3 linked regions of the Mus musculus genome follow. The protein of the gene in region 3 interacts with the protein of the main gene of each other region in a pairwise test. Links are inferred from orthologs where the notes say so. Each region holds a gene or a part of one and is shown on either strand. Other genes may lie near its edges.

Evidence for each region.
Region 1: the proteins of Gopc (region 3) and Fosl2 interact in a two-hybrid assay, tested with the Homo sapiens proteins (2 studies listed by BioGRID and IntAct). The two-hybrid records come from large-scale screens. The link is inferred for Mus musculus from reciprocal best matches to the Homo sapiens genes GOPC and FOSL2.
Region 2: the proteins of Gopc (region 3) and Cercam interact in a two-hybrid assay, tested with the Homo sapiens proteins (2 studies listed by BioGRID and IntAct). The two-hybrid records come from large-scale screens. The link is inferred for Mus musculus from reciprocal best matches to the Homo sapiens genes GOPC and CERCAM.

What each region holds. Positions count from the first base shown.
Region 1 is NC_000071.6:32,134,618-32,139,445, reverse strand, and holds the start of Fosl2 (fos-related antigen 2), read right to left. Parts: upstream 2,975-4,828; 5' UTR 2,743-2,974; coding exon 2,641-2,742; intron 1-2,640.
Region 2 is NC_000068.7:29,867,799-29,872,467, reverse strand, and holds the start of Cercam (inactive glycosyltransferase 25 family member 3 precursor), read right to left. Parts: upstream 2,975-4,669; 5' UTR 2,931-2,974; coding exon 2,743-2,930; exon of another isoform or gene 2,057-2,742; intron 1,446-2,056; coding exon 1,335-1,445; intron 1,194-1,334; coding exon 1,076-1,193; intron 1-1,075. UniProt on the Homo sapiens protein: Probable cell adhesion protein involved in leukocyte transmigration across the blood-brain barrier. Does not express any beta-galactosyltransferase activity in vitro.
Region 3 is NC_000076.6:52,336,732-52,340,884, forward strand, and holds the end of Gopc (Golgi-associated PDZ and coiled-coil motif-containing protein), read right to left. Parts: exon of another isoform or gene 4,148-4,153; intron 3,123-4,147; coding exon 2,992-3,122; 3' UTR 293-2,991; downstream 1-292.

The DNA of each region.
Region 1 (4,828 bases), on a different chromosome or scaffold from region 3:
CAAAAAAAATTAAATTGCCAGGGATTGATTAACCTTTGAGATTGAGATTATAGCTACAACAGGAAATAGTTTTCGTGTTTTGAGTTCCTGCCATAGACACAAGCAGAGGTCTTAACAAAGAGCTGTCTGCCTCCCACCCCACAGGTCAGTGGGGAAGTACTAGGTACTTAGTACTAAGACGCAGTATTAAGACCTTATGAAGCTAGATGTCGCGGGGGGGGGGGTCGGGGGGGGAGTGCCAGACAGCAAATTTATGGGGATACAGGACCCCACAAACAAGGAGAACAGGGGGAAAATAGTATGCACTTGCACAAGGAAAACCAGGAACTTCTCACAAGTTCCACTGATTGGATTGGTCCACCGTGCAGTCATAAAGGAGGAAGGCCCAGTCACTAACTGCCAGGAAAGCTTCCCCATGTAGAGGGCTGGGAGCAGAGCTGATTACAGACTTTATCTGGCATGTAATAAAGTTACCTTGAGCCCAGATTGGGGTGGGGTAGCAGCACAGACTTGGGAAGTAACAAAAACAGAGGCCTATCACTGGGACCACAGAACAGTTTTATAGACAGCCAGATCAGGGAGGGGGAAGCCTTCCCCCTGTTCCTCGTCTCCTACCCACCGCCCCGACAAGGCTGAGAGTTGGCTTAAGTGGCATTACCTTGCCAATCCCTCTGGTTTGAAAGACTTCTTGCTCATAAGGCTGAGCAGAATAGGCAGCTATACCTGAGAATCGCATGCACTGGTTGCTGCTAATTGCAAAATCCTCCTGTGTTACAGCATGCTAGGAATTAGCCAACAGCTGCTTTTTGCTTGGGTAATGAGGCCCTATTACACACTGCTGGACGGAGCTCTCTTCCTTCATCCGAGCATCGGTTTCCTGTCTGATTTGCTTCCAAAACAGGGAATTGCCTCCGCTCACATCCTGGGCTCAAAGCCCTAGTGACACAGATTATTCAGTTGGGGCACTGATGTCCGGTCTGACTTCCCATCCAGGCCCCAGAGTCTGAGCAAAGCCAGGCAGGGAGATTGTACTGTCAGTGCTCACTGTCTTGGTCTCATTAGTGGAAGAAACAGAAACGCAAAGCTTCTATGTTGGTTGGAAAGGAGAGGTACATGGGGTGGGGTTATTGGATTGGAAAGTAGGGGACAACAGGTATAAAGGACTCTAAACCCATTGATGAGTGATGTTTGGGTTCAACCCAAAACACCAAATGTACTGGGATGCAAACATAAGCGACTACTTCTCAGGTATGATTTGGGTGTTCAGTAGTAAGAAAGGGTCCACTGACTGGACCCTCAATGCTCAGACCAGGCTGTCTACAGTGGGTGCTTAGTAGGTATGGGGCTTGGGAGGAGCTAGACACAGAAAAGTCATTTAGAAGGACTCCCCAGATATGGAACATTACTTTGAGAGAGGTGCCCCTCTTGTCAGATTACAAAGAAAGCCATATTTTTATTATATTTCCCAGCTCACTCCACCCTTCCCTGGAAGACCCCTGACCTCCTATCTGGTTGACTTCTAAAGGTCAAAGTCAAGGCCATGGCTATTGGCTTATGGAGTAACTCTGGCTGCAGCCAGCTTGGCTAGGAACTCCCAGATGCTTGCCAAGGTGGGCTTCAGGTGGCAGAGGACCTTTTGAGTTCATGCAATTCCCTCACAAGATGGTGTTTGTGGTTCCTGCGACACAGGCCAGGTACCCTACCACCCCTACCGCCCCACCAATACCTGTCTGGTACCTACAAAGACACAGATTACAGGCACAATCCTTCAGTGCAAACCAGTCTGGCTGCTTTAGAAAGAGATGTTTTTCTACTTCTAAATCCACTCAGGAGCTCAAGCGATGTGTCTCTTTCTCCCACTTCTCTCTGACAGCTTCTTTGCCCCAGGTACCCCCAAGCCCCTCAAAGTTCTGCTGGGGGGGGGGGGAAGTACAGGCTCCTGCCCAACCCTTACCGGAAGCTGGAGGGGGGGTGTCACAGGAGGTGTCAAGAGCCAATCAAAGCCAGCTTCTTCCTTCCTGACCTTCGCACCTAATTCCCAGGGGCAACCCTCGCCCTCACTCCCAAACACTTGAAGGAGCCCAGCTTTGTTTTTGAGTCCCCAATCCCTTTCAGAAAACAGCTAAGACCGAAGAATAACAGAAGAAGAAAGGGTTAAAAAGCCTTCCCCCCCGCCCCCCCCCGTAGGGTCCTTGACGGCTGGGAGGGGCTTAGGGGGCGCAAAAATTTTCTTGCCTATCCACTACCTAGAAAGAGGAACGTGAAAAGGGAGGGAGAGCGGCTCGGAAGGAGGCAACAGGCTTCCCGGAGGGGACCTGTAATTTCAAGAGCTTTTCTGGAAAATTAAGTACGAAAAGGGGGAGAGGGTGTCGTTGGCTCTTCAAGCCCACTCTCCACTTGCTTAAAAAAAAAGAAAAGAAAAGAAAAGAAAAAGAAAAAGAAAAGTGGAGAGTGGGTAGGGCGGAACAGGAAAAAAAAAAAGAAAAAGAAAAGAAAAGAAACCCACAACTTACAGCGGTGAAGTATTTTTCTAGCCTGGCTAGGAAAGGGAAAAGAAGGAGGTTGGGGGTGGAGGCAGTGGGAGCAAGAAGAGGGTAGGAGTCTGCCCGCGCCGCCAGGTGCACCCCGGCCCGCACGTACCTGCTGGCCGCCGCCACCGCTGGAGTAGGACTCGGCGTGCGCAGGAGAGCCGCTGCTGCCCCGGGACGAGGTGTCAAAGTTCCCGGGATAATCCTGGTACATGATCCGCGGTGGGGGCCGGAGAGGAAACAGGGTGGTTTTCTTCCCCGCCCTCGCCGCGGCCGCGCACAGTCTGCTGCGCGCTCGCTGGTCCACCGGCCCGGCCACGGGCTGGGCTTTTCGCTCCCGGGATGTCCCCTAACCAAGGCAGACAGGAGGCAGCGACACTCGGGAAGTGACCCCCCCGATCGCCGCGCACCGCACTTCGTTTCTGCTCTGCAAGCTCCGCGGAACCGGTTGTCCACCGAGTCCCTCCCTCTAAAAAGTCGGCGCGTCCCTCGGTCCCTCCCCTGCGCGCGCCCTTCCGCCCCCGCGCGCAGCCGGAGCTCTGCCGGGACCCACGGGCTGGAGAAAAATGGGCAACGCAAAAAGACTAGGAGCCCCGCGGGTGTCGCTTGGCAGCTCTGGGGGACTCCCTCCCCGATCTCTCAGGGCGCCAAAAAGGCGAAAAAGAAAAGCTGCCGGTTGGGAGAAACTTCTGTTTCCTCCTTTTAGAAAAGGAGCCCGAGAATAAACTTCCTGTGGCCAACTCGCCGCCTGAGTTTCCCGGCGACTCGGACACTTGACTTAGGACAAGGCGGTGAGCGCCGGTCCAGCGGCCCCGATCGCGCCGGTGGGACAGCGCCCGTGGGATTCTAGGCTGAGCGGTGCTGAGAGGGACGTGGCTCCGCGTCGCAGTGACCTGCACCCCGTGCTGGCTCCAGGACCTGCCAAGCCTCGCGCTTCTCGCCTCGCTTCGCCCTCCCCTCTCTCCCCCTCTTTCTTGCGCTCGCTCTCTTTCTCTCTCTCTGTCCCTGCCGAGCGCCGCTCACTGTCTCGCTTCGAGCCCCTGCGCTCTGCCCGAGATGAGTCACTACAATGGCACGAGTTCAACTCCACACTCTTTATTCTCCAGCCCCGCACCATGTGGATCCACTCACGTCAACCTTAGACTCCACCTTGCTGGGAGGAGCGCTCGAGGCGGCGGGGGAGGAGGCCTGGGACAAGGAGGAGGAGGAAGAGGCGCGGGAGGGGAGGGGAGAAGGCGGGCGGGGCGCTCCCCTCCCGGCCTCGCTCGCGGTCGCGCTGACGCCAGCCACAGACCCCGCGCGAGGAAGGCGGGAGGCGGGGAGGGTGGGAGAGCGCGGCCCTCGCACTACGGGGGCGCCGAGGCCGCCCGCGTTCTCGCCGAACTCCTCCACCCCCCCTGGGGCGCAGCGCCCTTGGTCTGTTCCATTGGCGCACGTTGCCAAAGATGGTCATTTGCGTTAGAGGACGCGAATGCGGGTTTCCTCGCCTTCGGGTGACGTGGAGGGAGAGGGATTCCCTCGCCTGCTCCCGCCTGCGCCCTGGCCTCCCTACCTCCTCCCCTCCATCCCCAACCAAAAGGAAGGGGCGCGGGGCGGGGCCCCGAAAGCGGCCGCGCCGGCCTGGGCTCCGGGTTTTAGAAAAGGAAAAAAAAAAAAAAAAAAAAAAAATCGCAGCCCTGAAGACGAGACGGGCGGCTCAGTGCGGCGCCACCGCGAGGCAGAGAGCCCGGCGCGCAGAGCTGCTCGCGGGGAGGGCGCGGCCGTGCGCAGTCGTCCGCACCCTCAGCGGCGCCGCCCGGTACAGCGGGCGTCCTGGGCGCACCGGGCACCCGCGCCACCCTGCGGCCGGGTCTTGGCGGGGTGCGGCGCGGCGTCGCCAGGCGGGGCTGGCCTGCCCATTTTTCACTCGGAGCCTGGCTGCCCACTGCTTCCCCTTTTTGTGTGTGTGTGTGTTGTGTGTGTGTGTGTGTGTGTGTGTGTGTGCGCGCGCGCGCGCTTGTTTTTTTTTTTTTCTTTTTCTTTTTTCTTTTTTTAATTTATTTTATTTTGGCCTTCCAATTAACTTGCTTAGAAGTAGTATTGAAGATGAAATTAGCCAGTGAGACATTCGGGAGTCCTCTGTGCTACACAGTTATGACGCATGTAATAGTAGTAACCAGGTCTTAAAAGCAAATCGGGTTGTTTTTTAAAATACATAAATAAATAAATAAATAAATAAATAACTGGGGCCCGAGAGGTGTGCCCCAAGTTGCCTTGAACTGTTTTGGAGCAAAGTTCAGGGCGCGCGTGGCCGGACTCCT
Region 2 (4,669 bases), on a different chromosome or scaffold from region 3:
GAGATCTAACCAGGGCCAGAGAGAGGCGCCTAGAAAGGTAAAGGCACTTGCTGCCCAGCTTGACAACTAGAATCCAGTCTCTGGGACCCACACAGTAGAAGGAACCAACTCTGGAAAGCCATCCTCTGACATGCACACACATACCATGGCATGTGCACTTATATATACATACATGCATACATACATACATACATACATAATACAGGATACAGGATACAGGATACAGATATGAGAAGGGGCTAACCATTTCTGACAAAGGGCCATTCTGAGATGCTGGCTTAGAGCAGAGCAAGTAGCAGATCTAAGAATCTTGTCTCAAAAAACCAAAAAACCAAAAAAAAAAAAAAAAAAGAGTGCTGGGGGGTGGTGGCACATGCCTTTAATCCCAGCACTTGGGAGGCAGAGGCAGGCGGATTTCTGAGTTCGAGGCCAGCCTGGTCTATAGAGTGAGTTCCAGGACAGCCAGAGCTACACAGAGAAACCCTGTCTCGAAAATAAAAAAAAGGACTGGTAGCTCTTGCAGAGCACCTGAGTTGGAAACCCATTGACCCAATGGTGACTCACTACTAAGTGGAGTTCGCTTCCAGGCCCCCTTCTGCCCTCTGTGGGCTGCATGCACCAAGACACCCACCTTTGAAAAACAAAAGTAAATCAGGTGGTGGAGGCACACACTTTGGATCCCAACCCTTGGGAGGCAGAGGCAGGAGGATCTCTGAGGCCAGACTGGTCTACAGCATGAGTTCCAGGACAGTCGGGATTACACAGAGAAACCCTGTCTCGAAAACCCAGTGAGCAAACATAACAAAAATATTGGAAAAAAATTCTATTCTGAGCTCTAATCCAGGGATCCAGGCTCAGTTTATACTCTTGGCATACAAAAGCTCAGGAATCTAGGAACAGCATATAACCTAAGACCTGTACAAGGAGCCAGGCTTAGTATCTAGTGTGAGCTTAAATACAGGGGTCTCAGCTCAGTCTTCAGAAGATCTGTCCTATAGACAGTTTGGTTATAACCAGACTTTATTGGAAGCAGGTCCTGAGGCCTCCCCCATACTCTGTAGCCAGGCTTTCTTACCAGGATGTAGTCAGCTCCCCAGTCCCTGGCAAAGGCCAGTGCTTCCTGCCTCAGCTCCATCAAAAACTGATGCCGTTCTTTGGTCCAGTGCTTGGGACCCTGTTCATCTGGGTAGGACCTGAAGTGGAGAAAGGTGAAATGCTCTCTTGAGAGAGGGGCCTCTCGTTCTCTGCATAGAATAGACATGCGTGCTCTGGGGGCTGTGCCCTGGGGAATAGCTGTTCACCATCTTCCAGTACCCTTGCCCTCGGTTAACCACCTGGCCTCCTCCTCAGGCTTCCAGACGACAGTCGCATAGTCCCGACCCACAGCAGCCAGCCATTCCCGGAGCATCCCTGTGGTGTTGTCCATGTTGTGATCTGTGGCACACCTGTGAGCACAACACAGAATGACTGTCCTGAGAGCGATGGGGCAGAGTTGTGCGCTCCAGTGGAGGTGCTGGAGGATGTCCTGTGTAGCCTCAGGCAAGGTCCATGCCTCTCTGTGCTTCACGTCTGTCCTTCTAATTTTGTGCATTGTACTGTGGGAATTGAACCCAGAGACTTGTACACATCAAGCAAGCCCCTGACCCCTGAGCCATCCTCGGCCTGAGTGCACTTGAAAAGTCCCTTGAGCTTAAAGATTGCACCTGCCACGTCCCTTCACTTCCGTCCCTCTTCATGGCTCCACACATCAGGCCTTTTCCAGCTCAGAATCAGACAAAACAGTCATTGCCTTTCTCTCCTTACCTAACTCCCCCCAGCTGTAATTAGGCTCACACCATGCTCCGACAACCCCTGAGAAGTGTTAGTGGTGATCCAAGTTCTGTTACCATGGAGCACAGCTTTCCCTCTGCTGGGGAGGGGGCTCTAGTAATGGAGGTGGAAGGCTTAGCCAAGAGCCCAGGTTTTAGGCGATGCTGTTCCTTTAAGCCAATTCCCCAGAACTACGTGTCAAGTCTTACAGGGGTGGGAACTAACTAACTCCCCAAGTGTGGTGGCTGTGGGCAGCCTCCCCAGGCCACAGCTCCACCCCAGCCCAACTTTGGTGTGCTGTGAGGAGTACTCTATCTCCAGCCTCTGCTCAGGCTCCTCCCTGTTTTGACTTTTTTAGACAGGGTACTGCAACCTCTGATCCCAGCGTCCCATGAGACCACACCCTTGGCTATCAGAACCAGCCAGCCCCTCTCTCTACCCAGAGAAGCTTAGCAGTACCACTCAGAAGGGCACCCGAGCATGCCGCCTGGAGCTGAGGGTTCCCTCCACCTGCTCTCTAGAAACCTCCAGTCTGACTGATCCTTTCTATGCTGGGCCCCAGGGGATTCCAGAGGTTCAGTCTGTTCTACCGCACATCAGGCAGACCACAGGTCTTTACTGCGATGTACTGCCGAGCCCCAAGGGCTAGGTCAGAAAGGACAGGCCTAACTGAAACCCAGGGGAAACCCGGGAAGCCGGGGACGCCCGAGACATGTAGGGAGCCCAAAGGAGGGGTGAGTGTCCCTGGGCTGAACCCTGGCCTCAGAGGTCTATTCTTGCCCCGCGGGGTCTAGGAATACTGTTGAAGGGCTGTCTGGGAGGGAGGAGCTTGTTCGGGTTGTGTCTGGGCAGAAGTAATGAGGCCTCCAGGTCAAAAGCCTTCCTGGGTCCTGGGGCTTGATGCCCATATGCACCCACCCCTGGATCTCTCACCAGAGGGCCAGCCTGGCCCGGGGGTAGTCCAGGCGCTCCAGCGCACCCAGGTAGTGGGGCAGAGAGTGTTCAGCATTGCGGGCCAGGATGGCAAGGACCACGGTGGGTAGCGTCGGCTCTGTGACACTGGCAGCCCGGAGCTGCTGCCCCAACAGGAGCAGCAGAGGTAGGAGCCGCGCAACGTGCATGGCGGGACTCGGTGGCTGTGGAGGGCCCCGGGTTTCCCACCACAGTAGGGAGGGGGCGGGATGGGCGGGGCATGGAGGCGGGGTCTTAGAGGGGCGTGGTTACTGCCTTGGGGCCCCTGCGCCCCTCTTAGGCGCCTGTACGCTCCGCTGTCCTCTTCTCCGCCCAGGCCCTAGAGGTCCAGGGTTAGGCACCTGCTCCAGACGCGTCCTGGGGTCCGCCTTCTCCGTGTGGACCTCGGAAGGCGTTGGCACGGAAGGAAGGATCCGTGGGCCATGGTGGACCGCTTGTACCATGGGCGTTCATCTCACTCCTGGAATACTGACACCCGGGATTCCCGGCTCTCTGCCTCTCAGCCGTGGAGGCTGCAGTCTTCGCGAGGAGCCCAGGTTCCCGCCCCCTGCTCCATCTGAGACGCCCTCTGGCGGCCTGAGGCAGTAACTCCACATACCCAGCAGATGACGCGATGAGTTGGAGAGCAAGCCCAAGCTTGGGGGAGAGGACTGAGTGCAGCTGATCTGGCCACTTCCGCGACCTCGCATCACCTCCGCAGGCTCCGGCCCTTAAAGCAAAGCCCTTCTTTCAATTGCTTTGTTTGTTTGTTTGTTTGTTTGTTTGTTTGTTTCGAGACAGGGTTTCTTCTCTGTGTAGCCCTGGCTATCCTGGAACTCACTTTGTAGACCAGGCTGGCCTCGAACTCAGAAATCCACCTGCCTCTGCCTCCCAAGTGCGGGATTAAAAACGTGCGCCACCACCGCCCGGCTTCAATTGCTTTTTAATACAATAAAATTAAAGATTGCATCTTTAACTTCCCAAATAAGACCTAAGCAACATCATCACATTGACTCTGAGGAGCATTTCGTTTGACACAATGTGTTTGTTTTTTCTTTTGAAAGAAGAGTTATTTGGGAGGGGATGCACTTGGTCCTGTGGAGGCTTGATGCGCCAAGAAGGAGGATACTAGAAGGGTGAGGAGGGAACAACGGGTGGGTGGGTGGTTGAGCTCCCTCTTAAAGGCGAAGGGGAGGGAGGTGGGATTGGGGAGATCCTGGAGGGAGGACTGGGAAGGGGAACAACATTAAAACATAAATAAGGGCTGGTGAGATGGCTCAGTGAGTAAGAGCACCTGACTGCTCTTCCGAAGGTCCGGAGTTCAAATCCCAGCAACCACATGGTGGCTCACAACCATCTGTAACAAGATCTGACGCCCTCTTCTGGAGTGTCTGAAGACAGCTACAGTGAACTTACATATAATAAATAAATAAGTCTTTAAACAAATAAATAATAATGATAATGATGGTAATAATAAAGCAGAGCCCACTCCGACTGAGGGTAGGACTTAGGGGTCACCACAGAACCTCTGATGGCAACCCATCCCGCTTCCAAAATAGGAGATACAGCCTCCTTTGGGACAGAGCAAATCTTGGGACTCTGTTAGAATGAAAGGGAATCTCCAACCTCTCTTAGGAGAGAAAAAAGGATGAGGGAAAGGGGCTTAAGATATTCTTGCTGGGTATCTGTCACCAATCTCTGACAGTCACTTTCCCTGAGTCTCCTGATTCTCACAGGTAAAACCTGACTGATGATGGCTAATGTGAAGGTTTGCTACAGGGAGACCTTGAGCATGAATGCACTTGAGGCGCGCTCTCTCTCTCTCTCTGGGTAGGGAGCCTGAGCCAGGCCTCTGCATCCATCTACCTTCCCTCTGCCTGAATGGTCTGCTTTCCTAGATAGAGCTGCT
Region 3 (4,153 bases):
ACAAGGATTCATACTATACTCTTATCAATGCTGTCCTCATTATGTAACTTTAGCTTTTAAGATCTGTAATACGAAACCAAGCCAAAGAGACCAGAGTTTCTTCCATCTGCTAAGTTTAAAACAGACTATCGATCCCAGAGTTGTTTTGACAGTTCCTAACTACCAGATTTCTAACTAATTCAGATGAAACAGTTAAGCCTAAACAATTCCTACCCAATCTATGATACTCTACCCCAGCAGCTGGATTCAGTCTTTGGGTATTTCATGACACAATGATACAAGTCACAGGAGCTACTCAGAACCCATAATAAACCAAAATATTTAATGTGAATGAAAGAGAAAACATTTATTTTCCTTCAAATCTGATCAATACTGCTTTAATGTAGAATATGTCATTTTTATTTACAGGCTAATTAAGAATATGAAACTCAACTAGATATAATACAATTATCATAAATCCCCTTATATGTAAATTAATATATTTTTTGTTTTAAAATATGAAAACAACATAAGCCCCTTGCTGTGGGGTCTATTCCAGCACCATGGACAGGTTATGTTATTTGTAATTGTTTAATTCTAATCAACAGACTTGCAAGCTCTTCATCTCTCTCAAATTTAATTTAACAATAATCCCTAACCCGAATACGTCACTTTCATCATGTTCAGAACAGAAAACTGCAGAAGACAATTTCACACAATAAGTGTGAGTATGTCCACGCACACACCTCTCATGCTCTACACGTTTTCATTGTAATGGCTTTGCAACAGCTTTCCCCCCATTTTTTGGCTTTGTTCAAGAAGAGTCAGTGTTATATGGGCATCTTTCCTATGAACATGAACTATAAAGACTACTTTTCACTTAGTGCTTTGGGACCACACACTCTGAAGTGAACTCTCCAGTGGGCCTGGGAGAGTACCAGGATGCTCTCAGAGCAGGTTTCACGCCACAGCACTCTCCTATGCTTCCAAACCAGAAAGCAGAGATGGAAAGACGGACCTGTAGAACCATAAACTACTCTTTCTAAATATATTCTGTACCCATCTCACACAATCCCTCCTAGGCAGCACATGAAAATGCTCATCCAAGTTTTGCTTTCACATCTGCTGTGAAGTTCTTGAAAAAATTCAAAGGGTTATATAGCTTACATTTCCTAGCGATTCAATCATAGTATATAAGGCATATAATCTATGAATAAAAAGGAAAATAAAATGGCCCTGGTCCTTCCCAGGCAATGCTGAAAGGATATAGGAGCAGCATGGTTTCAGGTCAAAGCAAAAATATTTCAGATCTGTTACCATGAACATTTTTTCCTTAAATGAATACAATGGCTACCACCTACTTTGAAGGTCTCAAGTCATGCACTGGGGTATGTGTTTGGTGTGGGAGGAATACTTGAGGAAAAAACAATCTTTCTTTTAAGAGGTCTAGCCTATCAGGAGCAAACAGTAATATGTAACGTGTTTATTCATTTGTACAGTTAAAATACTAACCTTGTTTACAGGCAATGTTACACTACAAGGTATCTCAGCATCACTAACAATATACATACGAAGTGCACTTTCAGTTACCAGTTAACATGGTGATACTATGAAGAACGAAACCACCCAGAGACCATAAATGAGCAACAGTTAAAAAGAAAATTTATAAATAGCAAAATCACAAAATAAAGTATATACATTTTATAGATTTTAACTTTGAACAAATATATAATGCATCTGGGAAAAACAAGCATACCAAGAAAGAAGATACTGATATTGTAAAAGCCCGATATATGTAGGCTTCTCCCACATAAGATTCCCTTAGGTGTAAATCCTTTAAAACAGTGACTTAGCAAAAATCACACCTCTTTAAGTACAGTATTTTCAGTTTGCCCGGCAGGCAGGGTGCAATTGTCTGTAGGTCAGGAAAGAAGGGAGCAGGCACTCTGTACTTAGTTCTGATACAATAGAACTAATACATTTACAGAGTTTGCACACGAGTATTGCTTTAGTCAAACATATACTGATATAAAAACCAATATGCTCACTGTACCAAAATGTCTTTACCTCATCTTGCCTACCTTGGCCCCCGGCTTTTTAAATGACTGGCAAGTCAGGTACTTAAAGCCAACTGCTGTTTGAACACAATGTATTTCATGACATAGTAATGTTCCTGACTATCACAAGACAAAGCTTGGGAACAGCTCAAAAATGTATAAAGCTGTTTTTCGTGGATTCCAGACAATTAACATTTGGGACTAAACATTAACAGTGTAATGCTCCAATACCATGCACACAGATCAACATAATTGAAAACAGGCCATTTTCCACTTGTCTGCGTTTCCTTTAAAAGTCCAAAGTCAAATGCACAGTAACTTTTCCCAAACTATTCCTAGAGCAGCATTGATTGATACAGGATTGCCTAAAGAAAACCGTTTTGTACTGCAGTTGAGTTACCTGGAGAGTGAACTCATCATAATGATTTAAGATAGTAATTAATTTAGATATCAGGAATGTACAAGATACTTTTTAAAAAAAACCTGAAACAAAATTTTCAATTAAGCAAAAATGTCAACCTAGATTTTTGCAATTCACTGAGTAAAGTTCTGTCATCTGAAATTCCGCAGTTATCCTTAGGGAATATATGGTATCATTTACTCTGCTGTATTTAAAGGGTACTTAGAGAATTCCAGTTAGCACTGTCCTGTTATACATGAAAAGGAGCCAAATGAAATAGCATCCACTTGGCCTGTAAGAGCCTAGTAAAACCCCTTTGGGAAACACATGCTTTGGTGCTTAGATTCCAGGAAAATCAAAACTGCCTTCCATGCAATAGCTAATTAAGGTATACCACAGAAAACAGGGGTTTATGCACTTAGAATTGTTCACATGAAGCCCTGAGGTTCCCGCCTTTCTCTAGGCAACACACAGCCTCCCTGATCTTGTGCAGTCTTTGTCACCGTCTTCTCTAGTGCCCCACACTCCACGAGTCTGACAAGCAGCGTGTCTGGGTTAGTAGGCCTTCTTCTGATGCAGGCTGTGCAGATGAGCCGCTCTCGCAGCAGTGTCATCCAGAGGGCTCTCACCTGCAGCCCCCACGTCCCCATTCTCATGCGCATCCCTCACTGCCTTCTTGTTATACCCTGGGAGACAAGAGCACAAAATACACCGTGTATTTCTGGCCAAAAATATGTCTAAGTTTTACAGTTTTACTAAGAAACAATGTTCAATGAAATTATTAGCAGCAATATAAGGCAAGCTAACCCTGATCAAATCAATAGTGCTTATGGGAATTCTTTCATCTTATAGCAGATAGGAAACATCATATACATTTTTAAAGTATTAACTATTGAAGCTACCTGAAAGTTGTGAAATAAATGCAATCCAGTTTTCTAAAAAACTTAGGGTTGACATACTAACTTATAAAAACCCAATTGTATTTATACAATTATTTACTGAAATACAAATATTTTGCTTCTATATAATTTAACTTCAATTCATTGAAATATATGCTAGTTGACTGCTAAACAATCTGTTGGCAAGATAATGTTTAGCTAGATATTAAAATAAATTTTGGTTAATTTACCTAACATATAATGGGGTTTTAAGTAAATATGACTGACTGAAAACCCCACTAAGAAGGTTAGAAAGATCTGTATTAAACAATAATCAACAGATAGATTTTACCTCAACACTTGAGAGGCTAAGGCAGGAAGATCCTGTGTTCAAAGACAGCATGGTCTACACAATGAGTTCCCGGCCAGCCTAGAAGTCGGAGGAAGATCTAAAACCTACCAAAGGTAAAGTTTTCATTATCTGACGCACTTAATAGTAATATGCTGTATGGCATGCATTTTGGCTGAGTCATATTTCTTTTTTTTGTTGTTGTTTATTTTCGAGACAGAGTTTCTCTGTGTAGCCCTGGCTGTCCTGGAACTCACTCTGTAGACCAGGCTAGTCTCGAACTCAGAAATCCACCTGCCTCTGCCTCCCGAGTGCTGGGAATAAAGGTGTGTGCCACCACGCACAGCTATGAGTCATATTTCATGTTTTAAGCATTTGCAGTTTACAAAGGTAAGAAAAGTTTTCTAACCAAGGCTATAAAATTATTGCTTTAAACTTATGAGAGTTAGAAAACATTTAAAGAATGTCTAGTCAAGTACTGGTCTTTTTT